3 linked regions of the Alligator mississippiensis genome follow. The protein of the gene in region 3 interacts with the protein of the main gene of each other region in a pairwise test. Links are inferred from orthologs where the notes say so. Each region holds a gene or a part of one and is shown on either strand. Other genes may lie near its edges.

Region 1 (7,738 bases), on a different chromosome or scaffold from region 3:
AGGATGGGGAGAACCTATAGATTCAGGCTATTTGTTGATAAAGAAAGGAGATGGGGGAGGAAACTACCTTGAATTCTGGAATGAAAAATTTAAAAAACTCTCTAAATTCAGGCTATTTACTGATAGAGAAAGGAGAGGGCGGGGAAAGCTACTTTGAATTCAAAGCCTTTTGGGTTGAAAAATGATGTTAAAAAAACCCCTATAAACTCAGCCTACTGATAAAAGGGGGGGGAGGCGCAAGACTATCTTGAACTCAAAGTATGCACTGAAAAACATAAAACCCTATAAATTAAAGCTATTTATTGATAGAGAAAGGGGTGGGGGGTGGGAAGAAGAGCCATCTTGAATTCAAAGCCTTATCTTATAAGATACAAGGATATGGGCCGCATATAAGGATATAGGCTATACCTTATATCTCCAAAATTGAAAGCCCCTATAAAATTCAAGCTATTTGTGGATAGAGAAAGGAACGGGGAAGGGAAACTACTTTGAATTCAAAGGCTTGTGTGCTGAAAAACAGAAGACTTCTAAGTATTATAGCCAGCTGAATAGCTAGATATAAAACTCTATAAAAACCCAGGCTCATTCACTTTTAGAGAGAGAGGAGGGAGAAACAGTACCTTGAATCCAAAGGCATTGGATTGAAAAATATAAAGGTCTTTAAAAAATATACATTTCAGTCTATTTATTGATAGAGAAAGGAGGGGGTGGGGTGGGGAAAAAAACCTTGAATTCAAAGCCTTGAGTTTAAAAAAAAATATGTACACACACACACACACACACACACAGAGGGAGCTATTGGCAGGATTCACTCTCTCAAGGACTGGCATCTGGTGTAGGACTGGAAACGCACAGAATCAAAGTCATTTGGGGGAAAACTGGCAGTAAAAAAAAAGAGGCAGGCTTCAATCTCTTGAGAGTGGGCACCTGGAATAGGGTTGGGGAGTTAGAAAATAAAAACAGAGAATCAGCTCATTTTGGGAGGAGAGGGAAGGAAGCAGCCTTGTCTGTAGCCATCTCCAGCTCAAAATAACCCCCCACCACCCCCCAGCCTGGCTCTTGAGGTCTTTATAAGGGAATCCAGCTCCAAAAAAAAAAACAAAAAAAAGAAAAGAAAAAAAAACCAAAAAAAAAGTCAAACTCCTATTTGGAAGGCAAGTAAGAAGTGGGAGAGAAAAGCCCTGATTCAGGCAAGAATGAGGCAGCTCCCAGCAGTTTCCGGCCACAAAGATGATCTGGACCCGCCCAGGACATCTGCAATTGCATTTTAAAAGCCAGAGCCAGAAAGGAAGGGGGAGGGGAAATAATCCCAGAGGCCTCCGGCTGGGGATGACCGCATTCACCAAGATGTCTGGCTGGCTCACCACCTCCGCCTCCTTCCCCCAACAGCAGCCATTACAGAGAGGCACAAAGAAAGTAGTCTCAGCCCTTGAGATCCCCTAGTCACTGGAAAGGGAAAGGAGGGGATCTGATCTAGCTGGGGAGATCCTGGCACCAGGGGAGCTGCACCCACTACATCCCCTTATAACTAGAGGGTGGAATGGTTCCTGATCTGGGCACTGCAAGCTGGGGGAAGGAAGCAAACCAAATCTCAGACCTGGTCCCCAAACAGATCCCATTGAAAGGATCCAGCCTTGAGCAAGGAGATCCCTGCAGAGCCCAGCCCAGGGGAGAGGGGAGCCACCCACTTACCAGATCCCCCTTATACCTAGGAGGTGGAGAAGGAGAATGGATCCCAAATGCAGGTACTGGGAGACTGGGGCAGAGCTGTGGTATCAACCCTGAGTCCCTTGAATGGGCAAAGACTCCAGCTTACAGATCCCTGCAGACTCTGGCCCAAGGGGAAGGGGGGGGCTAGATCCCCTTATAACTAGGAGGTGGAGGAGCAGATTCCCCTCTGGGTGCTGGGAGACAGGTGAAAATAGTCAGTCCAAGCTTGGGGACCAGCCAGATCCCATTGAAAGGGGAAAGGATCCAGCTGGAAGACCCCTGCAGGTAGAGGGGGAGAGAACCCGCCTTTGCAGCCATGTGCTTGTGCAGACAAAAGAGGGTGGGGGAAGCAGCAAATCCTTGGCAGCAGGGAGTGCCAGAGGCTGGGGGCTGCCCCCACCCCGGATCCACCAGGAGCAGAGCGATACCCCTCCCACACACACCTTTTTTGGCAACTTGGTTTCCAAGCCGCCTCCTCCCGCGGCTACAGTGTGACAGGTCGGCACCGCGGACACTATGTAGCAAACCCGGATCGAGCAGAACGACCCTGCGGGGCGGGTGGGGAGGGGAAGGCAGGTACCGCGAGCAGCCCGCCGCCCCTTTTAATGCGGATTAAGCCGGCCCCGGAGGGAGGCAAAGCCGAGGCACGGGGCTGAGGCCAGGGCCAAGTTCACGGCCGGGGCCAAGTTCGCGGGGGGGGGGGGAATCCACCAGCGAGACGGGGCGGACCGGAGCCGGCGAGGAGGGGCTGAAACTGAACAGCCCAGAAAGCAAGAGGGGCTGAAATGGACCACTCCCGCGCCCCCACAAAGGGGGAGGGGCTGAAATTGATCGGGTCCAAAACGAACGTGGGGGAAGGAGACTGAAATTGACCCCCCCACTCCCCGCAAAAAAGGGGGTGGGGCTGAAATGGACCAAGTTTCTAGTACCACCCAGGAGCGGGCCCGATCCCCGCCGAGCTACGCCCCCTCCCGATGGAGAGAAGCCCCCTCCCCAGATCGGGCTGCCGCCGCCCCGCCCCAGATCAGGGCGCTTCTCTCCCGCCGGCGCGTCCCCAGCAGGAAGCCTCGTCCCGCTCCGAGCCCCCCCGCCCCGCCCCGCCGGGGGCGGCTCCTGGTTCAAATCGCGTTCCCTCCCCCCGCACGCGCGGGTTTGGCGCGCAGCAGAGTCCTCCCCTCCCCCCGCGGCCGGACCGCCCCACCCCGCCACGCGCTCCCGCCGGCTGCTCCGCGGGCCGGGTCTCCCCGCGCCGCCATCAGAGGGGAGTCTCTAAGGCTGGGGGGGAGAGGGGGACCCGGACCCCCAGACACCCCCCCGCCCCCTCTCTCGTTTTAAACGGGTTTCCCACCCCCGATCTCCCGGGCGAGTTAAAGGAATTTGTCCAATTTAAAAAGCGCCAAATCACCCCCCTATAGGCACCATCCGGCCCTACGAGGCGCGATCCCCTATCCCCGGAGGATCTGCACAGGTCCGAGCAAACCGGACCCCGCCTCACCTTGGCGCCGATCTGGTTACCGCATTGGCCGGCTTGGATGTGCACAATTTCCCTCATCTTGCAGGACCTTTTTGCCCCCTTTTTGACGGTGCGACGCGCCCCTTTAAGGGTAGAACGCTGCGGAGCCCAAGTTTCCTCCTTCCGAACGCGGCGGCGTCCAACGTTCTAAAGGGCTGGTAAAAGGCGGGGGCTGATATAGACAAAGCTTTTATAGCCTGGCCGGCGGCCAGGCCCCTGATTGGTCGGCTGGGATCAGCCGGGCGGGGTCTGATTGGCCAGAAGGGGATCGCACACGTGATAGCGGGCGGGAGTGGGGAGCCAGCAGGGCAGGGTGGGGTCCGTGCAAAGGCTGCTGGGAGTTGTAGTCACCTTTTGTTCTGGAGGGGTGGGTGGGGTGCTTCTGGCAATACTGAACCCCAGAGGTTTTCCCAGGCTGGGGAGGGAACCAGCAGTCCGGGTCCCTACCCCGCCCCCACAGAGAACCAAGGGTCTGGGCCCCGACCCCGCCCCCGAGAACCAGGGGTCCGGGCCCCTACCCCGGGTTCCCAGCCCAGCCCCCCGTCGGGGACAGAAGCAGCGGGAAGGAAGGAAGCGCCTGGGGAAGGGAGCAGAGGCAGGGCCTGGGAAGGGAGAGGGAACCCAGGCGCCCGGGATTGGCCCCGCCCCCACTGCCCGCTGATTGGGGCTGGCAGTGTCGCAGAGCTGGTGCAGGGTGCGGCTGGGCGGGGAGGAGCTGGCGGCCGGCCTGGGCTCCCGGGGAGGGGGCGGGGCCGGCTCATTCCTAGATCGCTCATCACCGCCCTGTTGGCGACATGTTGTCCCCAGGGTCCAGCCCCAGGCAGGTCCCGCTTGCCCCGGACGCCTGGGGTCTCCGGGACGGAGTGGGGGCTGGGGGGGGGGGCGGACGCCTGGGTTCGTCGGACACAGCCCTGAGTCTCCCCCAGCTGAGTTCCAAGCAGTCCCACCCCTGGGGACCGGCCGCAGCCCTGCTAGAGTCGGAGGCAGAGAGGGATGGGCGGGCACCCGCTGCCCTTTCACCAAGGAACCCAGGGGTGCTGGCTGCCACCGGCTGCATCCCCCACCCGCAAAGGACCCAGGTGTCCGGCCTCCCAGCCTCCTTTACCCCACTACCCTGCCACCTCCCAGCCCCCCCTTACCCCACTGCCCTGACCCCCCCTCCCAGCCACCTTTACCCCACCGCCCTGACAGACCTCCTCCTCTCCCAGAGCCGGAGGGGGAGCCGGGCATCCCTGCTGCAATGTGTTTGCTGCACCCCTTCCCAGCTGGGGCAGAGAACTCGGCTCCCAGCCTCTCCCTCATGACTACAACCAGGTGCGCCCAATTCAGGCTGGGATTTGGCACTGGAGTTGAGTGTAGGAGCTGCGAGCTTGCAAAAACAGTGTCATGGCTGTCCCACCCCAGGCAGGTCCTGCTCCCCTCCGGACACTGGCATCCTCTTCTCCCATCTCTCCCCGAGGCCTGGGGGCACACTAGAGGCTTGGAAGCAGCCCTGGCCTGAGGCCTGTATGCTTGGGGAGCAGGGACAGGCCCCGGTCAGCAAGGTGCCTGGCAACATGAGATGCCCCTTTATGGTACCATGGCAGCCCCAAGTAACCAGCCTGTTGTCTGGTAACTCAGACGCCCCCTCCTGGTAGCCAGGCCCCCCTGTAGTAACCAGCGCGTTGCCTGGCAACACCGAGATACCCCTTTTGGTACCCAGGGCTGCCCCTAGTAACCTGCCCGTTGCCTGGCAACCCTGGCCTGCATTACCATGGCGCCTGGCACAGCTCAACTGGGGTCAGGCCGGGCCGGGACAAGGGCCTGGCGCTTCCCAGAGGCCGGTGGCTATGAATGGCCCCGGGGTGACGTCATTCTCATTAGTGAACAGCGGAAATCACGAGGAAGGAGCCACGTGCTGCGGGGCCGGTTGTACTCTAGCCCCGCACTCAATGGGCGGGCGGCGGCCATTTTCTGGCGGGTGACGGCGGGCCCTCCTCCCCCCTCAGTGTCCCGGCGGTTCGACGTGGGCATCTCTATGCTCATTCGCGATAGAAGGGTGAGGCCGCCATGTTGAGGAGGACCGACAGCGGACACTCTAGCCACAGCATTAGAGCGTTCTCTGTTCCTCCCCTGCCCCACAGTCTATGGTCCACGCCCACGTGGAGGATGCGGAGTATCCGCTCCAGCCCGTCCCCCGGTGGTTGCTCTCGATCTCCGCCATGCCGTGCCCAGGGCCGCAACCCGGGAGACACTCTAGCCCGACGCCGCCCGCCTCTTTACGGTCCCGCGGCGCCTCTCTGTACAGCTACTTCCGGGTTCTGCGGCTCCGGCCTCCAAGCCCGGGGCCCTGGCGGGGGTCAAAGGTCAGGGGACCTGGGGGCGGGGCGAGAGCGAGGGGTACCAGTTGGGCGCGGGGGGAAGGGTGAAGGTGCAGAGAGGAATGAGACACCCCCCCCCCCCAGGAGTGTTGGGGGCTGTAACCCCCTCCCGTGGCCCTGGGGGTGGGGGGGAGGCCAGGCCCTGGGGGTACTAGGCCACTCTCCCCCATGCTACCCCCTTGCTTGCACCAGGGGGGCACCAGGGGCTGCCAGACTGCAGCTGCACCCGCCTCCCAACCCCCAGGACACCAGGGAGTTACCCCCGACTCCCAGGCCTCACACATGACACTAGCCAGGCCCAGCTCCATGTACCCTGGCAGGGTTTAATTATGTCTGGCACAGACCGGGTGGCACCAGCGGGGCACATACAGGCAGCTGCCCCTGTGCGGGGGCTGGACAAGGCACTGTAGGAGATGGGGCTGAGGCAGGTAGATGGGCTATGGCAGTGGGAGGGAGGGGAGGGCAGCAGGGAAGATGGGGGGACCCCTGCTGTCCTCCAAGTGGCACTGGGGAGAGGGGTCTGTAAACCACACAGACTTGGCACAGAGGGGCAGAAGTGCAAGTGGGGGCAGGGGGTAGCTCGGCCCCACCCAGAGCTGGGGGAGCAGGGGGTCCCATGCGAGGCAAGGAGGGGCGGGTAGTGCCGGGAGCTCAGGACATGCGGCCTGGCTTCTTCTGGCTTATCTGGAGGAGAGAGAGAGAGAGAGAGAGAGGGAAGGATGGTGTGAGGCAGTGAGAGGAGCAGACATGTAAGAGGCACCCAGGTGCCCGGGCTCCCAACTCCCCCTCCCCTTCTCTAACCCACGAGCCACCCATGCAACTCCCAGCGAACCCAGGCCTCTGGGCTCCTAGCCCCTTTCTCTAACCCCCATCCTCACCCCCTGCGCCAGGGAACCCAGCCCCACCTGCACCAGCTCCCCAGCCCTCACTCCCCTCCCAGAGAAGACAGGCATCCAAGCTCTAGTTTGCCCTACTCCCCTCCCCACCCCCAAAATCAGGCATCCAGGCTCGCAGCACTCCTTGTGCCAGCCCCCAACCAGAACCCAGGTCTCCAGGCACCTGAGAGATGCTGATGCCTGTAAGCTTCTCCACCGTGTCAGGTAGCTTGTCCAGGATGCCCAGCACCTCCCCTGTCAGCTTGGCGGCGCCCACAGCCCCGTCCCCACTGGACACCAGTGTCACCCTTTGCACCGAGGACAGCGGGCGGCTGATCTCCTCCGCCACCTGTGGGGGAGAAAGCCATTAAGGAGGGTGAAGCTTGTGTGCTGGGGGTGGGGCCTAGGCACAGAGGTGCGGCATGTGGCTGGGGGTGTAGCCTATGTAGTGGGGGCAGGCCCTATGCAGAAGGATGGCGTATATATGGAGGCATGGCCTACTTGCTGGGAGCAGGGCCTAGGCAGGAGTGGGGACTATGCAGAAGGGTGCGACATGGATGGAGTGGGGCCCACGTAGGGCTGGGTTTGCATGGGCGGTGGGTGGGGAGTGTATGGGGGCAGGGCCTGGAGAGGGGGTCTGGATCCTGGGGGTGGGATGTGTAGGGGTACAGCCTGTAAGTTGAGGGTAGGGCGTATACAGGGGAGTGAGGCATGCTTTGCTGCCTACAGGCTGGGGGGTGGGACTTACACAGATGTGTTGGGGCAGGGCTTGAGTGCTGGGGGCAGAGCCTGCAGGCTAGGAGCAGGACTAGGCAAAGGGCTGGGGTATGAATGGGGTGGGGCTGAGGCAGGGGGTAGGACATATATGGGGTGCAGTCTGTATGATGGGGAAAGGGCCTAGGCAGAGTGGGGCCTGCAGGCAGGGAATGGGGCCTGTAGGTGGGGGGTGGAGCCTAGATAGGAGTGGCACTTATATGGGGGTTAAGCCTATGTGTCGGGGTGTGGCCTGTGTCCTAGGGGCAAGGGAGCGTGGCCTGAAGGCTGGAGAGCTAGGTACATGTTTAGGTGTGGCCTGAGCACAGAGCGTAAGGCATGAGTTGAGGGCATGGCCTGTTTGCTGGGGTCCTGAGAGGGGGTGGGGCCTATGCGTAGCTGTGGTGCTGTGGGGGCATGGCCTATATGGGGGCATGGCCAATGACCTGGGAGCGTGGCCAGTGTGGGGGTGTGGCCTGCACAATGGCTGTGCAGCACAAAGGCATATGGCCAGGCTGTGGGTGTGG
Region 2 (7,521 bases), on a different chromosome or scaffold from region 3:
TTGGGGAACTGGCTCTGTGGTTAGACCCTGAGAGTGATAGTCGATAGAACCGAGTCAGTGTGGTGCATGGTGAACAGTGCAGTCCCCCAGAATTCAGTTCTCAGACCAGTACTCTTTAACATATTCATACGTGACCTGGACTCGGGTGTCAGAAGCAGGCTGGCTAAGTTTGCAGATGACTCCAAATTACTGGGAAGCACAGTCACACTAGAGGACAGGCTGGGAATTCAGGCCAAGTTGGACAGGCTCGCAGTAGGTGTATCAAAACCTGATGACTTTCAGCACAGAGAAATGCAAGGCGCTCCACCTCAGGAGAAACAACCCACATCATACCTGTAGGTCTGGTAGCGCTACACTCACTAGCACCACGACTGAAAGAGACTTTCACGATTGACCACAAGATTAATGTGAGTCACCAATGAGATGCCACAGCCAGCAAAGCAAATACAACCAACCCTGGCTTGCATCTACCAATGCATCTCAAAGCAAGACCCAGGATGTCATCCTCCCACTTTATTTCGCCTTGGTGAGGCTACAGCTACAGTACTGCATCCAATTCTGGGCTCTACACCCTAGGAAGAATGTGGAAAAGCATGAGAGAGTCCAGAAGAGAGCCATGCACATGATCAGAGGTCAAGAGAGCAGGCCTTATGAGGAGAGGCTGAGAGACATGGGACTCTTTAGCTTGGAAAAGTGTAGGCTGAGAGGGGACTTGGCAACAGTCTATAAGTATATCAGGGATGTACATCAGGATCTGGGAGAACATCTGTTCACCAGGGCACCCCAAGGGAAGACAAGGTCTAACTGTCACAAACTGCTGGAAGACCGTTTTAGATTGGACATAAGGGAAAACTTCTTTACCATCCGAGTCTTCAGAATCTGGAATAGACCCCCCACCAGAAGTGGTGCAAGCACCTGCTCTGGGCACATTCAAGAAGCTTTTGGATGATTATCTTGCTGGGGTCATCTGACCCCAGCTGACTTCCTGCCCTTTAGCAGGGGGCTGGACCCAATGATCTTACAAGGTCCCTTCCAGCCCTAATGTTTATGAAATCTATGAACAGTTTTGATTCACTGCCTTACATGAACAATCAGAGTCGCCTAAAACTGGAATCCTGGTCCGCTGGAAATAAGCCGGGGGTTGGTTTGCTATGGTTCTTATGCTTGTTGTTTACCAAACAGCAGCAGCTTAATTAGTAAATGAACCTGAATCAAAGCCAGATGTGGCTTGGGCTGTTTGCACAAATCCAGTAACTAACAAGTTCAGGCCTGATGGCACAGCTCCACAGTTGACCTCAGTCAGGCCTCCGCTCTGGGCAAGCCTGTAATAATAACTGGTGACTGATCATGAAGCTGCAAAGGCAGCATTAACCACAAACACAGACTCTGGTCATAAGATTACTAAAAGGGTGGGAGAGGTGGATGCAAGGAGCTGAGAGGAGTATTTTTGCTCCTGTGGTGAGTAGGAAAGAACTAGCCCTGCTTTCCAGGCTAGAACTATAACATGCAGCAAATTGGGTTTTATCATATAAGCAACATGTGAGTTGAGTTGCCTCAGTCATGTGGCTGAGCCTGGAATTGAACCGTGACATCCCAAATCCCAACCCAGTAGCCACACTACTAGATTTGTACTCATGTGCATTAGAAACGTTGGGGAGGATGTGGATTTTATGCAAAGCCCTCTTGCTTGAAAGGAATGCCAATAATTTTAAATAGTGGCTTATGCCAGACATGCCTGTCAAATGAGCCTGCCATACACAACATGCAGATTCCTTTTCCTGATCTTCCTGCTTCAGGTGCCCAGGGCATCCACAAATTTCTGCCATTCATCCTGCGCTGTTCAGGCTCTCAAACGTTCCATTAATGGGTAGACAAGGTTCCTTGGGTGAATCTGATCTTTTATTAGACCAACCCAAATAGTTGGAGAATAGTTATTAAGCAAGCTTTCGGGTTCAAAAACCCTTCGTCAGGCTAAGGAGGTTTCAGCAGTTGGTGTGTGCGCTTCCTGGATGGAATGGTTCTCCACAGCGTTTCACCAGTTATTGTGGAAGCTGCATTGGTGGCATTTGTAAAGCGCAACCTAGATCCCAGCTTCCCTCACTGTCCTTTTTACCACATCCAATGCTCGCTAGAATTTCTGACAGACTCGATGGACCTTCCGCGGGTATTTGTTCTGGAACGGATGCACCTTCTATGCAGTTACTAGGGTGAATGTCTGTGACTCTGTTCCATAAAGTGAGGACAAGATGAGATGTCAGTGCTTGAAATCATGTGTCTGCTTGTGCATGTGTTAGGGCTGATTATGCTATTGTGCTAAATCTTTTCAAGTTTATGGAAAACTATTTGTAGTTTTTGGATGTCTGTTTCCTGACAAGTAGCGCAGCAGCATCCTCACAGCACATCTTGCTCCCTACAAAGCCAAAAAGCCTGTCTTCTTCCAAAGTTTCTCCATCTATTCTGCTGGCTGCTTCTGGGAGGTTAACAGCATTATGCTCCTTTTTGTCTTATTCAAGAAAAACTGGTGCCTCCAGAGCCTGGGGGGGGGGGGGGGGGGGGGAGAAGGGAGTGTGCACCATTTGTAGGCAGCAGTGAGCAGTGATCACCCACAGAAGACAGTGATGGTGACCAATCTCAGGGGGGGGCACATGCCCCCCCACGAATCACCCATGCATAGATTCATTGCTAGGAAGGGGCTGGAAGGGGAGTGGAAGATCCCTGGGTCCAGCGCCCTGCGCTTGACCAGACAACCAACCACCCTGTTTTGCTGCATTTGTTAAGGGCTTTAACCAAGCAGCGAGTTGAAGGACGCAGGGCACCACCACGGACAAATCTCAGGGTCCTCCAAGCAGATTTTACTGTTGTCCCACAACCCCCTGGGAACTCCCTCCTCGGGAGCCAGGCAGCGCCCACCAAGAACCTAGGGACAAAGCACCTTGGCCCCGCCTTCCACCCGGACCCGCCCAAAACCAGCGACAGCCGGGGACAGGCAGGGGGGCGGCAGGGGACCTTGACCCTCCGAGGGATCCGGAGGATTGGGGGGTTCCCGGAGCCGCGTCGTTCACCGCGAGTGTCAAGGCACAACACGGGCCGCCCAGCCCCAGCCCGTCCCACAGCGAGCGCAGCCGCGCACCAGAGCCTGTCCCGGGGCGGGGGCTGCTCCGCCGCCAGCTCCAGCGCCCCCGCCCCACCGCCCGCGGGCGCCGGGGACAAGCGTGGGGGGTGAAGCAGGCCGCGCAGTGCCGGGACTCAGGCCCGGGAGCTGGGGTCGGACTCCGCTCCGAGTCGGGGGTTGTGCGGCCCCGGAAGGAGGGGGCCTGCCCGCACTCACCAGCACCGCGCGCTCTGCCGAGCTCGCCATCCCGGCCGCCATCCCCGCCGGCCGCGGCCCCGCCCCCACCTCTTCATTGGGTAGCTCGAGCACTGCCGCCTCCGGATAGGTCCCTGCCTAGCAGCCCCACCCACCCCGGCCCAGCCAGCCTCGGCTAGGCAGCCGTCAGCCTGGCAACGCGCCGCCGGGAGCAGCCGATTGGGCGCAGCCGCGGCCCCGCCCCTCCCCTCCCCTCCCCGCAACAGGGGGGTGACGCCAAGACGCCTATAGTGACGTCAGCAAGAGATGTCAGCGCTGACGGGGGCGGGGCGGCCTCCGCTCGGCTTCTCCTCCCGCGCTGCAGGTGGCCCAAACCGGGTGCTCCGCCCCGCCCGTTTGCGCTCAGCGGGCCCGCAGCACCCCCCGGTTCACCTGTGGCCGCGGCGGAAGCGACTGGCGCGTGCGAGCGTGCCCCCGAGCAGCAGGACGCTCCAGCCCTGCAGCGCCTGCGCGTGTCCCCTGCTGCTGTGAGCGCTGACCCGGGCCCAGGGGTGCACCGGCCAAGGAGCCTGGCTCCTGCAGGACGACGCCTGTGTCTGAGGATGCAGCTGCAAGGGAAGGAAATCCTCTTGTCGGCTCAGGTCAAGCACCGTGCTTGTGGAAGGACCACGTGTCTGTGAAGGCAGTTTTCCTAAAGCGCTCCCCGTGAGAGCTGCTCTTCTGGCGCGGATCGGTACCCACCCAGGTGCAGCGGCTTTAAGCCCAGTCTCCTCCCTTGCTCGCTGCGAGGGCAAGCAGAACTGGGGGCATCTGAACCCCAGGCCTCCGGGCTCAAGCCTGCACGGAGGATGCCTGCTAAAGGATTTGGAAACCTCTGAAGCCCCAGGTGTGGGTGGAGGATGGTTGCCGGTAGTAGGGCCACTTATGATTCTGACCTCTTGAATTTGGAATTAGTTTGGGCTAATTTTTCCTGGGATACATAAAAGTAAAAAAAAAATCCTAGGGGATAAGGGGGCATTTTTGTGAACTGGTGATTTTATTTGCACTCTTAACACTTAACACAGCACTCAGAGTGGTCACATAACAGGCCAGGCTGCCTGACATGCTGTAAGTGTGTGCTAGTGTCCTCTGGCAGCTTTGTCTTCATAATCAGGCTTTATTTTAGTTCTTTCTGGCACATTACCTCCCCTCCAATCTCAAGCCTTAGTTTTTTCCTAAGCACTCAACAGCCTTACATGAACGCAGAGTTGCACTGAACTAAATTACAGGCTGGATTTTTTTCCCAGGCATAGATTCATAGATGTTAGGGTCGGAAGGGACCTCAATAGATCATTGAGTCCAACCCCCTGCATACGCAGGAAAGAGTGCTGGGTCTAGATGACCGCAGCTAGATACTCATCTAACCTCTTGAAGACCCCCCAGGGTAGGGGAGAGCACCACCTCCCTTGGGAGCCCGTTCCAGACCTTGGCCACTCGAACTGTGAAGAAGTTCTTCCTAATGTCCAGTCTAAATCTGCTCTCTGTTAGCTTGTGGCCATTATTTCTTGTAACCCCCGGGGGCGCCTTGGTGAATAAATACTCACCAATTCCCTTCTGTGCCCCTGTGATGAACTTATAGGCAGCCACAAGGTCGCCTCTCAACCTTCTCTTGCGGAGGCTGAAAAGGTCCAGTTTCTCTAGTCTCTCCTCGTAGGGTTTGGTCTGCAGGTGCTTAACCATATGAGTGGCCCTTCTCTGGACCCTCTCCAGGTTATCCTCATCCTTCTTGAAGTGCGGCGCCCAGAACTGCACGCAGTACTCCAACTGCAGTCTGACCAGCGCCCGATAGAGGGGAAGCATCACCTCCTTGGACCTATTTGTCATGCATCTGCTGATGCACGATAAAGTGCCATTGGCTTTTTTGATGGCTTCGTCACACTGCCGGCTCATGTTCAACTTGGAGTCCACTAGGACTCCAAGATCCCTTTCCACTTCCGTGCCACCCAGCAGGTCATTCCCTAGGCTGTAGGTGTGCTGGACATTTTTCCTTCCTAGGTGCAGCACTTTGCATTTCTCCTTGTTGAACTGCATCCTGTTGTTTTCTGCCCACTTGTCCAACCTGTCCAGGTCTGCTTGCAGCTGTTCCCTGCCCTCCGGCGTGTCCACTTCTCCCCATAGCTTTGTGTCATCTGCAAACTTGGACAGAGTACATTTCACTCCCTCGTCCAAGTCACTGATGAAGACATTAGAGTATCAGTCCAAGGACCGAACCCTGCGGGACCCCACTGCCCACACCCTTCCAGGTCGATACCGACCCATCCACCACGACTCTCTGGGTGCGACCCTCTAGCCAATTCACCACCCACCGGACTGTGTAGTCATCCACATCACAGCCTCTTAACTTGTTCACCAGTATGGGGTGGGATACTGTATCGAAGGCCTTCCTGAAGTCTAAGTATATGACATCCACCCCTACTCCTGTGTCCAGGCGTTTCGTAACCCAGTCATAAAAAGAGACTAGATTGGTCAGGCACGATCTGCCTGCCACGAACCCATGCTGGTTTCCCCTCAGCATAGTTTGTCCTGCCGGGCTCTCACAAATGTGAGCCTTGATAATTTTTTCAAAGACTTTGCCAAGGATGGAGGTGAGACTGACTGGCCTATAGTTGCCCGGGTCCTCCTTCCTCCCCTTCTTGAAAATGGGGACCACATTGGCCCTTTTCCAGTCCTCTGGGACTTGGCCCGTGTGCCACGAGCTTTCAAATATTCCCGCCAGTGGCTCTGCAATGATGTCGGCCAGTGCCTTCAGCACCCTCGGATGGAGCTCATCCGGGCCTGCCGACTTAAAGGCATCCAGTTCTTCCAAGTGACTCTGCACCATCTCAGGGTCTACGCATGGAAGTCTGGCGCCTTGCTGCTGCCTCTCTACAACCCCAGTGAGAGACTTGTCGTGCCCCTCGCTTAGGAACACTGAGGCAAAGAACTCGTTGAGGAGTTCAGCCTTGTCCCCCCTGTCCGTCACCAATTGTTTCTGCCCATTTAGCAGGGGTCCTATTCCTCCCTGGGCCTTCCTTTTACTCCCTATATATCTAAAAAACAATTTCTTGTTGTCTTTTACTTGGGTTGCCATCCACAGCTCCATGGTAGCTTTGGCCCATCTAACTGCCTCCCTACAAGCACGAGCAGAGGAGGCATCTGCAAGATTTATGTTAACATTGCCCTGGATCCTGAACTCTGTACCTGAGCCCTCCAGTCCTGGAAGCTGTTTTCCTACTTACAGTAATGTACAAACCAGCCAATACCGTTTAACTCGGGAGTATTCATTGATCTGGCCAAGATGCGGACACGTCCTTGGAGGGAACGGTCCTCTCCCAATTGATCGCTCATTGGAGCTTTATCAGTCAGAACAGCAGCGCTTGAGCGCTCCCCCGGAGCTGGTTTGTGCTTCCCGAGAGCTCCTCTGGGGCTGCACACAGCTCTCTTAAAGATCAGTTTAGACTACTGTGTTCTGGGCGAGAGAGAGAGGAGGAAAAAGGCATAGTGGGTAGATACTACAGTATTCTTGGGAAAGCTTTCAAAAATATATTTAAACTGACATTTCAGGAGACTGGATTTCCTTATGCAACCAATGGTTTCTTGGGTCATTTAAAGCAAAAACAACCTTAGCCTGCTTGCTGCTTTCTATTGCTTATCATTTTGCAGTGCCCTTTACTTCCCCCAAAGCAGCATGAAATCTACTTCACTTGTTTGCTCTGCAATCACCCTCCGCCTCCTGCTGTTGCAATGTTAAGGTTTCAAACACTGCAGGCACTACTGGCACTATGCTTGGGCTGCATAGGTTGCTGTTTGCCAAGTCTACTTGTTTACTGATCTTGCCACCAGCTCAAATGGACTTTTTGGTGAATGGCCACTGCTTATCCATTCTCTGATACATTGCCATTACTACTAGTACCAGCTTAGGACAGCATTTTGGAGGTGCAGATTTTTACTGCTTAATACAATTGCTCATCTGTCCTGTGGCCAAGGATACATATAAATTTTTCTGTGTCTTGTCAAAGGACATACTGTAGAACTGATATAAAAAAGACAGGCAATTACACAAGATGCTAAAGAGATACTCAGTTTCTTTTCCTTGAATCCATCCTGCTATTTAAATGAATTTGAGCTTAAAATAGTTTTCATTGCAACTATGTTACAATACTGAACACAGCTACTGCTAATTTACAGGACCAGAG
Region 3 (8,105 bases):
GCTTTGTGGGCCAGGTGGTGGCCGCAGGCTATAGATTGCCAACCCCTGTTTTACAGTATTAACAAAAAGTTGTATAAAGTGTTAGTATCCTCTGCAGCAGGGGTACCCAACTCACCTGCACTCCTACTACACTGGATTCAGAGCACAAGGAGCCTCACAGGCCAAATCCAGACCCAACAGCAGGGAAAGCGATACTGAAAAGGTTAATGCAGCCATTGCTCACCCCCCCACACACACGCACGCATGTCCCCAGCTAGGCTTTACAGCTGGAAATTAGGTGGCAGGCCCAACGTTGTTCAGCCTGCCCCTAAATTTCTGGCCCATTTGAGAGTTGAAACCCTTCCAATGGCCAGTTGCAGCCGAAGGGCTGTATATTTGACATCCTTGTTCTATACCATTAGTTTCAACATCCTCAGTGTTGGTGGAACAGAGGGCTAATCTAGCTTTAAAGTCTTTCTCAGTATAACTATTTCAGTTAGGGATTTTTTTTTTAAGCAAGATAATTTCTGCCAATTAAATCCCTAGTGTAGACATGTTATACAAGTATAATGCTTCCCCTTCCTCTACAGGAATAATTATATTGATATATAGCATGTACCAGTTGTAACTGTATCCATGCTGCTTGGGAGTGTGCCATAACTTCTTAATGTAGACAAGATCCAAGCCAGTATTAACAATGGTAGAAAATGTGTTTTAAATCTTTGTACTTCCCTCCTTTGTGGATTATGTACTGGCATTAGCATGCACTTAAAACACAGTCACACAGTGTGGAAATCAAAGCATTTTTTTCCAGCAGCACTGGGAATTTGACCATATTCAGAGTAAAGTTCCTGTATTATACATTTAATATTTCAAAACTGTCAGGCTTTCTGGGTGAACAAAAGCAAAACAAACCAACAGTTCTAATACATATTACTAAAAACCACCGCTGCTGTCATGTTTAGAAGACCAGGAGTAACCTCATGCACTCCCAAACTTTAGAATGATCACTATCAATGATGTAATGAGTAGGCAAGCAGTCACAAGCCCCAGGTGCTGCCTAAGACAGGGGAGGAGAGGTGCCAGAACAGAGCTGATGGGGCACTTCACCTTCCCATTCCACGTCCCTTTCCCCACACCCTGCACCTTCGCAGGCAGCAACTCCAGCTCTGGCAGCAAGTGGGCAAAGCAGTAGCAGCGATGCACGGAGTAGGACTGGCCAGTGCATAGGAGCAACATGCTGCTTATAAAAAGAGAGAGATGCCAGCTCCTTTCTTTGCCAGCAAAAACCAGTGTTTTTTGGCCACCGCTCAACACACATCAGCAGCAAAAACAAAGTGTCATCTCCACACTACAAGAGCAAACCTCTGGCCGCTGCCTCTGCACCCTGCACTGCTACCATCCAGGGCAAAGTACAAGCCAGTTATGCCTCTGGACACTGCAGGAGGAGTGGAACAAATTGGCTCCAGGGAGCAAACCAGTATACCAACCTGTACCTATTACTTGCACTAGGCTCACAGCAATTCCACAGCCAACCACGGGTGGGACTTTTGTCTCCACTACTAGAGCTCAGCTACCTGAAACAGTCTGGAAATTTCAGCCACCTGCCATTAATGAGAGGCAGATCTCAACAGCATCCCCTCGGATAAGTACCAAATCTTTTCTTTTGGTTGAGATTCTGTGGTAATGTTTACAGTGAAATATCTGGAAGCTTTTCTATTCTGTTCTAGAGAGAGGTAGGTAGCTGTTTTAGTCTGAAGTCAGGCAGAAGGCAGGACAGGTTGGCACAGTGATTCTTAAGCACAGTGCCATGGTGCCCTGGGATGCTGAGAGATCCTTTCAAAGGTGCCACGCAGTACTAGCATTGTTGGGAATACATGCAATTCCAAAGGCTACAGAGGCCTAGGAATCCACCTGCTTCCTGCAGCTGCTTCAGGCCTTTACAGCAGTGATTCTCAATCAGGTGTCTTGAGATCCTTTCAAGGATGTCACACAACGTTAGTACTGTTGGATGTACAAACATGATTCACAAGATAAACCCGGAGATTTCAAATAGAATCTGCACTGTCAAAAGCCACCTACCCAGCTGTGGTACTTCTGTGTTCTTTGCTACAGAAGAATTGCTCAGAGAAATAATAAGTGACAGCTAAGAGCTGCCATTTTCCATGGGGTGCCTTGAGTCTAATTAGGGGTGCCTCAAGCTTAAAGCAGGTTGAGAACCACTGCCTGAGAGACTAATGCATGTGGTTTGGCAGGCAACCACCTACGTTGTCAAACTTTACTTGGTTCACAGCACCTGACAAAAAGTAGGCTACTGCCTACCAAAAGCTTACACAGGCAGTTCTCACCCTTTCTAGACTCAAGGCATCCTTGGATATACTCAAGGCACCTGTCGGCATGTACCAGCTTTGCATTTTCACTTTTTTTTTTTTTTTTTTTTTGGCCTACAGAAAAGAAATAAAGCGGGGTTCTGTCGCAACACAGGCAGAAAGCCTGCCGCTATGGGAGTCCTACAGCAATCTCTAGATTCAACCTTGCCCATCGTGTATGGTAAGCAGCGCTAACAGTGACAGCTCCCTCAGATGGTCTAAAGGCACTCAGGAGAATCCCAAGGCACCCCAGGAGATCTCAAGGGACCCTGCGATGCCAAACCACCCAGGAGAGCTCAAGGGACCCCAGGATCCCAGGACACCTAGGAGGACCAAAAAGCACTCCAGGATTTCTCAAGGGACCTCATGATCCCAGTATACCCAGGAGGACCCCAAGACACCCCAGGAGATCTCAAGGGATCCCATGATGCCAAAGCACCCAGGAGATCTCAAGAAACCCCACAATCCCAAGGCACCCAGGAGGACCCCAAAGCACCCCAGGAGATCTCAGGGGACCCTGCAATCCCAAGGTACCCAGGAGATCTCAAGGGACCCCAAGGGGACCCCAAAGCACCTGGGAGGATCCCAAGACACCACAGGAGATCTCAGGGGACCCCACAATCCCAAGGCACCCAGGAGGACCCCAAAGCACTCCAGATCTCAAGGCACCCCTGGGTGCCAGCCTGCTCGAGAAGCCCCGCCTTACACAGCTGTGCCCTGGCCAGGCTCGGGGGCCAGCCTGCCCCTGCCCCCGAGCCCCGGGGTGCACAGCCACGCGGCCGGAGGAGTCTCCCCCCACCCCGCGCAGCCTGGGCCCCGTCCCGGTCGCGGCGCCTCCGAGCAGCCGCAGCCCCGGGGAAGCGCTTCGGCGGCGCCTCCTCGGCGGCCGGGACCCGGCGGCGCTGCCCCGAGCCGGGCGGGCTGGCGGCGCGGGCTGCTCCGGCCCCGCACACGCACGCACATGCACATGCACCGCCGGGATCCCCCCGCCCCGGCCTCACCTCGCCCCGCGCCGCCGGCCCCGCACCACATCCTCCGGCCCGCCCCGGGACAGCGAGAGCCGCCCCACCCGCCCAGCCCGCGCCGCGCCACGCCACGCCACGCCACGCCACGCCACGCCACAGCCACTCCCCCGCCGAGAGCTGCCAGCCCCCGCCCCGCCCTGGCACAGGCGACCCCCGCGCCGCGCCCGCCCCTGCTCGGCAGGGCAAGGACCCCCGCGCCTCCCCCAGCCCGGCCGCGGGCGGGGGGAGACAGGCTTTGTGAGCTGCCAAAGAGCGTGGGCTCGGGCTCCCCTCATCAGGAAAGCTACTGAGGAGATTAAAAAATAAAGACATCTCAGGCCTCAATCCTGTAGGGCAGTGGTGCTCAACCTTTTCTGGACCAGGACCCATTTGCAAACATCAGTGGCCAGTCCCCAGTACTGTAGCAACAAAGTTTGGCACCAGGGCAAAGCCCATAGTGGCAGCTCACCCCAGCCCTGCATGCAAATCCCACCCAAGCTTGGCCAGGAGTGCACACAATGGCTGGAGCTACCCTTCCCTGGTCCCAGCACCTCCCCAAGCCTGCCGCTTGCTGCTCCGTCCCACTCCCTGCCCAAGCTGGGCACCGCCTGTTGTTGCCCCTTCACTTAAGTGCCCAGGGCGATCGCCCCACTCACCCCTCCCCCTTGTTATGGTACTGCCAGTCCCAACCCAGTGCCCCTCACTCCCAACCCGCTGCCCCCGCTGTGTGGGGCATTGGGGGCTCCAAGCAACCCCTCGCAACCTGGAGCTCTGCCAGACTGCAAGGGAAAAGGCCTTGTTTCCCACATTTTTCTACTTTAAAGGACAATCCACCTGTTGAGAAACGCTGCTGAAAGGGGCTTGAGCACAGCAAGTGGGGATGAGGCGGAATTGATGTGTTTTAAGTCCAAACATATCATCCTCATAACCTCTCAGGCACCTCAAGCCACTTGCAGGGCTGGACACAGGCATGGGTGAGCCAGGTAGCTGCCTGGGGCCCAGGCAGAAAAGGGGTCCCCAAAATGCTAATTATTATTATTATTATCATCTCCAGTGAAGGGGGGGGCAATACTAAAAGCTTGCCTGTGGGTGCCAGGAGTCTAGGTATGGTGCTGGTCACTTGGAACTAAAGCTTTCACCCGGCTTTTCAAGCCTGTCAAGCACAGTTCCTTTAAGCACCTAATGTTTCTGCCTGTCACTGGGGCCAGTTCTGCTTTGAGCAGGGGGTTGGACTAGATCAGTGTTATTAAACCCATGGGTCACGACCCAGAAGTGAGTTGCAAGAATATACAAAAGGGTTGCAAACAAACTTTAAAAATGGATTCTCCTTTAAAGAAAAAAAATGTGGGAAGCCAGGGCTTTCCCCTTGCAGTCTGGCAGAGCTCCAGCCTGTGAGGGGCTGCTTGCCCCCTCTCTGCCCCCACCACGCACACTGTGGCAGAAGGCAGCAGGTTGGGCGCGAGGAGCACTGGGTTGGGAATGGCCACTGATGTTTACAAATGGGTTATGGTACAAAAAAGGTTGACAACCACTGGACTAGATGACCTCCTGAGGTCCCTTCCAGCTCTCATTTTCTAGGATTCTGTGACATATCTGACTAATTCCAACTGGTCTGGTAGATGGCCAGGCCTTTTGATGTGCTGTTACAGGATGAGAGTCAAAGCCCATCAAACTGGGCTATGAGCACCCACCCCCTTGATGTGGGGGGCCACTGAGGGCATATCACTGATTGCTTGGGACAAATAAAATGCAAAATAAGTGAAGAGGTGAGGGTCAAAGGTTCAGAACGAGCACACTGAGGGGGTGGACTGAGCACAGAACACCAGAACGTGGGCACTGGTCTTTGAATGCATCCAAGAATCCAGCTGACACTGCCCAGTGAAACTGCCTCGAGATGTGAAAAGACCAAGGACAGGAAAATGGCCCTGCAGTCCCCAGAGTTCTCCCAGCCAGGGCCTCCTTCCTGGTCAGGTATATTGCCATCTTGGTCAGGAGGAGGTTGACCAGGAGGTCCCAGATGTGGGAGTGCCACAGATAGGGAGCACATAACAAAAAAGGGGCAGGGAGTCATGCAACCAGAACTTCAGCAGGAGGTTCTGGAGGAGGCAAAAAAGGGACTGCAACCTGGCGCATTCAAGGGTAGGCATGTGCCAGGGTCTCTCCACCTAATTCAGTGCTTGGGAGTGACTCAAATAAGGTCCATCATCACAGATAACACAATACATATTTTATTCCCATTTAAACTAAACTAGAAACTTTACTAATGCAAGGGGTCCAGGGCTGTGTTATTCTGTTTAAGATTGGAGCAGAAACAAACATAACTTAATTGGAATGTGTTCAAAAACAATCTGCAGGTCTGTGAAATAGAAGCAGCGAGGCCCCTGCTATACCTTACATATATTATGCAATTCACAGTTGAATTGTGAAATAAATTTATACTGGCCACACCTGCAAAGTAAGACCAGCCACAAGTTCAAAGTAATTATCACCTTGTTAATGGGTGAATCGTGCAATAAATTTAGACTGGCCACCCATATGCAGAAATTATCACATGATAAAAATTACTTTCCAGCTGTAAAAACTGCTAACCAGCTATAAAGTTAGTGCTTGAAAATGTGTAAGAACTCTATAGCTGGTTTCTATCCAGCTTTAATTTGAATGTGTAGCAGAGCCCTAACAGACCACAGAATGGCAGAAGGAAGGACATCCTGATGGGTAGAAAATCAAGGCCATTAGAAAGAAGAGAGGGTCATTAATACTTATGAAATGAAGTTTTAAGAAGGGATCGGGCAGATAATAACGAGCCCTGAAGTCAATTGACTCCCTCATCAGCTGCCTGACTAGAAACGCTGCTGCCACTGCCAGACAGTTCATTTTAAACTGTGGGTGGACCAGGGACCTGACAATAGAGTGGAACAAAGTCTGGGTCTTCCCTCTGCCTCTGTATAAAATCAGACCCTTCTACTATGGGGATGACCTTGCTCAGGTTCTTTGCCTGAGGGGCACAATTCTGTGGACTCTTCCCTAGGTCCTAATTCAAACTGTATGCCAGCACCTTTACCCAGTCTTTTACCAGGCCTCTGCTGAGAGTGCTTCCCTTCTGAACATTTGGCATTTCCAACATGAGGTAGGCAAGGACCCATAGGTGATAATCCCTTGATCCAAGGATGGTCTCTACCATGGCTCACTGATGAGTCTTGTGGTGACTTGGGAGTCCAATCCTAGAGCCACAGATCCATCCACAGAAGGAGACTAAGCTGCAGGCTGGGATTCCTCTCCTTTTCCTTCCTCTGCTCTCTCAGCTTTGAGGGCAAGACATTTTACCTCAAAATGAGCTGCTGCTTGGGTAAGGTTGTGGTGCCACTGGAGTCGGTTGGCAGCCAGCTTCTCCCAAATCTTATTGACAGCATCTGTTTTCTTGAGGTATGCCTTCAAAGTGTTTTTGTAGCATTTTCTCAGGCCATTACTAAGCTGGGAGTACAGCATTTGTTTTGGGAGGCAAGAGTGAGGCATCTGCACACAATGTCAGGTCCAGTGAAGTTGATGCTTGAGGATCATTGACTCAATGCTGGTAACACTGGCTTCAACAAAGATGCTGGTGTTTGAGTCAACGTTCCTATTTGATGCAGAGGATTTTCTGGAGGCATCATTGGTGATACTTCTCCAGGCTCTTGAGATGGTAATGGTAGGTCATCCCCATTTCACATCTATAGAGGAGAGCGGGGATGATTTTTCCATTGTAGACCTGGATCTTGGTGTCTTTCCAGAGACTGCAATGAATAAAGACATGCTGAGATACATTCAGCACCAGGGCAAACTATAAAGCACTTTGGTCTTCTCAATGTTGAGAGAGAGGCCCAAAGTTTGGTAGGCTTCTCCAAAGAGATCCAGCATGGTGTGGAAGTTTTCCCCAATGTGCACAGTCACTAGTACATTGAAGTTCAAGGATGGTTGTTTTGAGTACTTTGGTCTTCAAGTGAAAATGTCCCAAGCTGAAGAGTCCTCCATCGATTTGGTATTCAGTGTCAATTCCAGAAGGAAGGCAGTCATTAATGAGAGCCAGGATGACAGTCAAATTATTGGAGAACAGAGCTGGGATGCATCCTGGCTTGACCCTAGCTCAGATGACAAATAAGTCTGTCTCCAATCTACTACAAAGAATGGTTGCAGTCATCTGGTCATGGAGAAGCCTCAGGGTCTTGATGTACTTCCGTGACATCCAAATCTGGCCAGTACTTTCATAGGGCTCCATGATTAATCAAATCAAAGGCCTTAGTAAGGTCAATGAAAACCATATACCGGTCCTGATGTTGTTCCGAACACTTTTCTTGAATCTGGCAGGCAACAAAGATCATGTTAATTGCCCCACAGGATAATCTGAACTTACTCTGAGATTCTGACAGGACTTTCTCAGCAAGAGGTAGAAGATGGCTCAGAAGGATGCAGAAGAGTATTTTCCCTGCTGTGGAAAGGAGGGTGATACCTTGATAGTTCTGACAGACAGACTTATTATGTCCTTTTTTGAAGATAGTTACTATGTTGACATTCCTGAGGTCCCCAGGGAGCTCCTCATTGTTCCTAATTTGAAGAATGGAGTCTTAGTACCAGCCTTGTAGATTACAGCAAGTATGCCATCCAGCCTAATAGCCATGCTCTTGGTTTCCTTGATGGCACACCAGATTTCTTTTAGGATAAAAGGGTTGGCTCGGGATCCTCTTTCAGGGCTTTGGACTCAATGGTGGTATCCATCACA

What was found. The genes of interacting proteins can lie anywhere in the genome.
Region 1: the proteins of DISC1 (region 3) and TUBB interact in a two-hybrid assay, tested with the Homo sapiens proteins (2 studies listed by BioGRID and IntAct). The link is inferred for Alligator mississippiensis from reciprocal best matches to the Homo sapiens genes DISC1 and TUBB.
Region 2: the proteins of DISC1 (region 3) and ROGDI interact in a two-hybrid assay, tested with the Homo sapiens proteins (2 studies listed by BioGRID and IntAct). The link is inferred for Alligator mississippiensis from reciprocal best matches to the Homo sapiens genes DISC1 and ROGDI.

The regions. Positions count from the first base shown.
Region 1 is NC_081834.1:57,379,233-57,386,970, forward strand, and holds the start of TUBB (tubulin beta chain), read right to left. Parts: upstream 3,390-7,738; 5' UTR 3,263-3,389; coding exon 3,206-3,262; intron 1-3,205. Other genes in the region: FLOT1 (flotillin-1), read right to left, coding at 6,235-6,267, 6,643-6,807. UniProt on the Homo sapiens protein: Tubulin is the major constituent of microtubules, a cylinder consisting of laterally associated linear protofilaments composed of alpha- and beta-tubulin heterodimers.
Region 2 is NC_081836.1:30,383,692-30,391,212, forward strand, and holds the start of ROGDI (protein rogdi homolog), read right to left. Parts: upstream 3,390-7,521; 5' UTR 3,371-3,389; coding exon 3,329-3,370; intron 1-3,328.
Region 3 is NC_081824.1:149,967,020-149,975,124, reverse strand, and holds the start of DISC1 (disrupted in schizophrenia 1 protein), read right to left. Parts: upstream 3,413-8,105; 5' UTR 3,350-3,412; intron 1-3,349. UniProt on the Homo sapiens protein: Involved in the regulation of multiple aspects of embryonic and adult neurogenesis. Required for neural progenitor proliferation in the ventrical/subventrical zone during embryonic brain development and in the adult dentate gyrus of the hippocampus.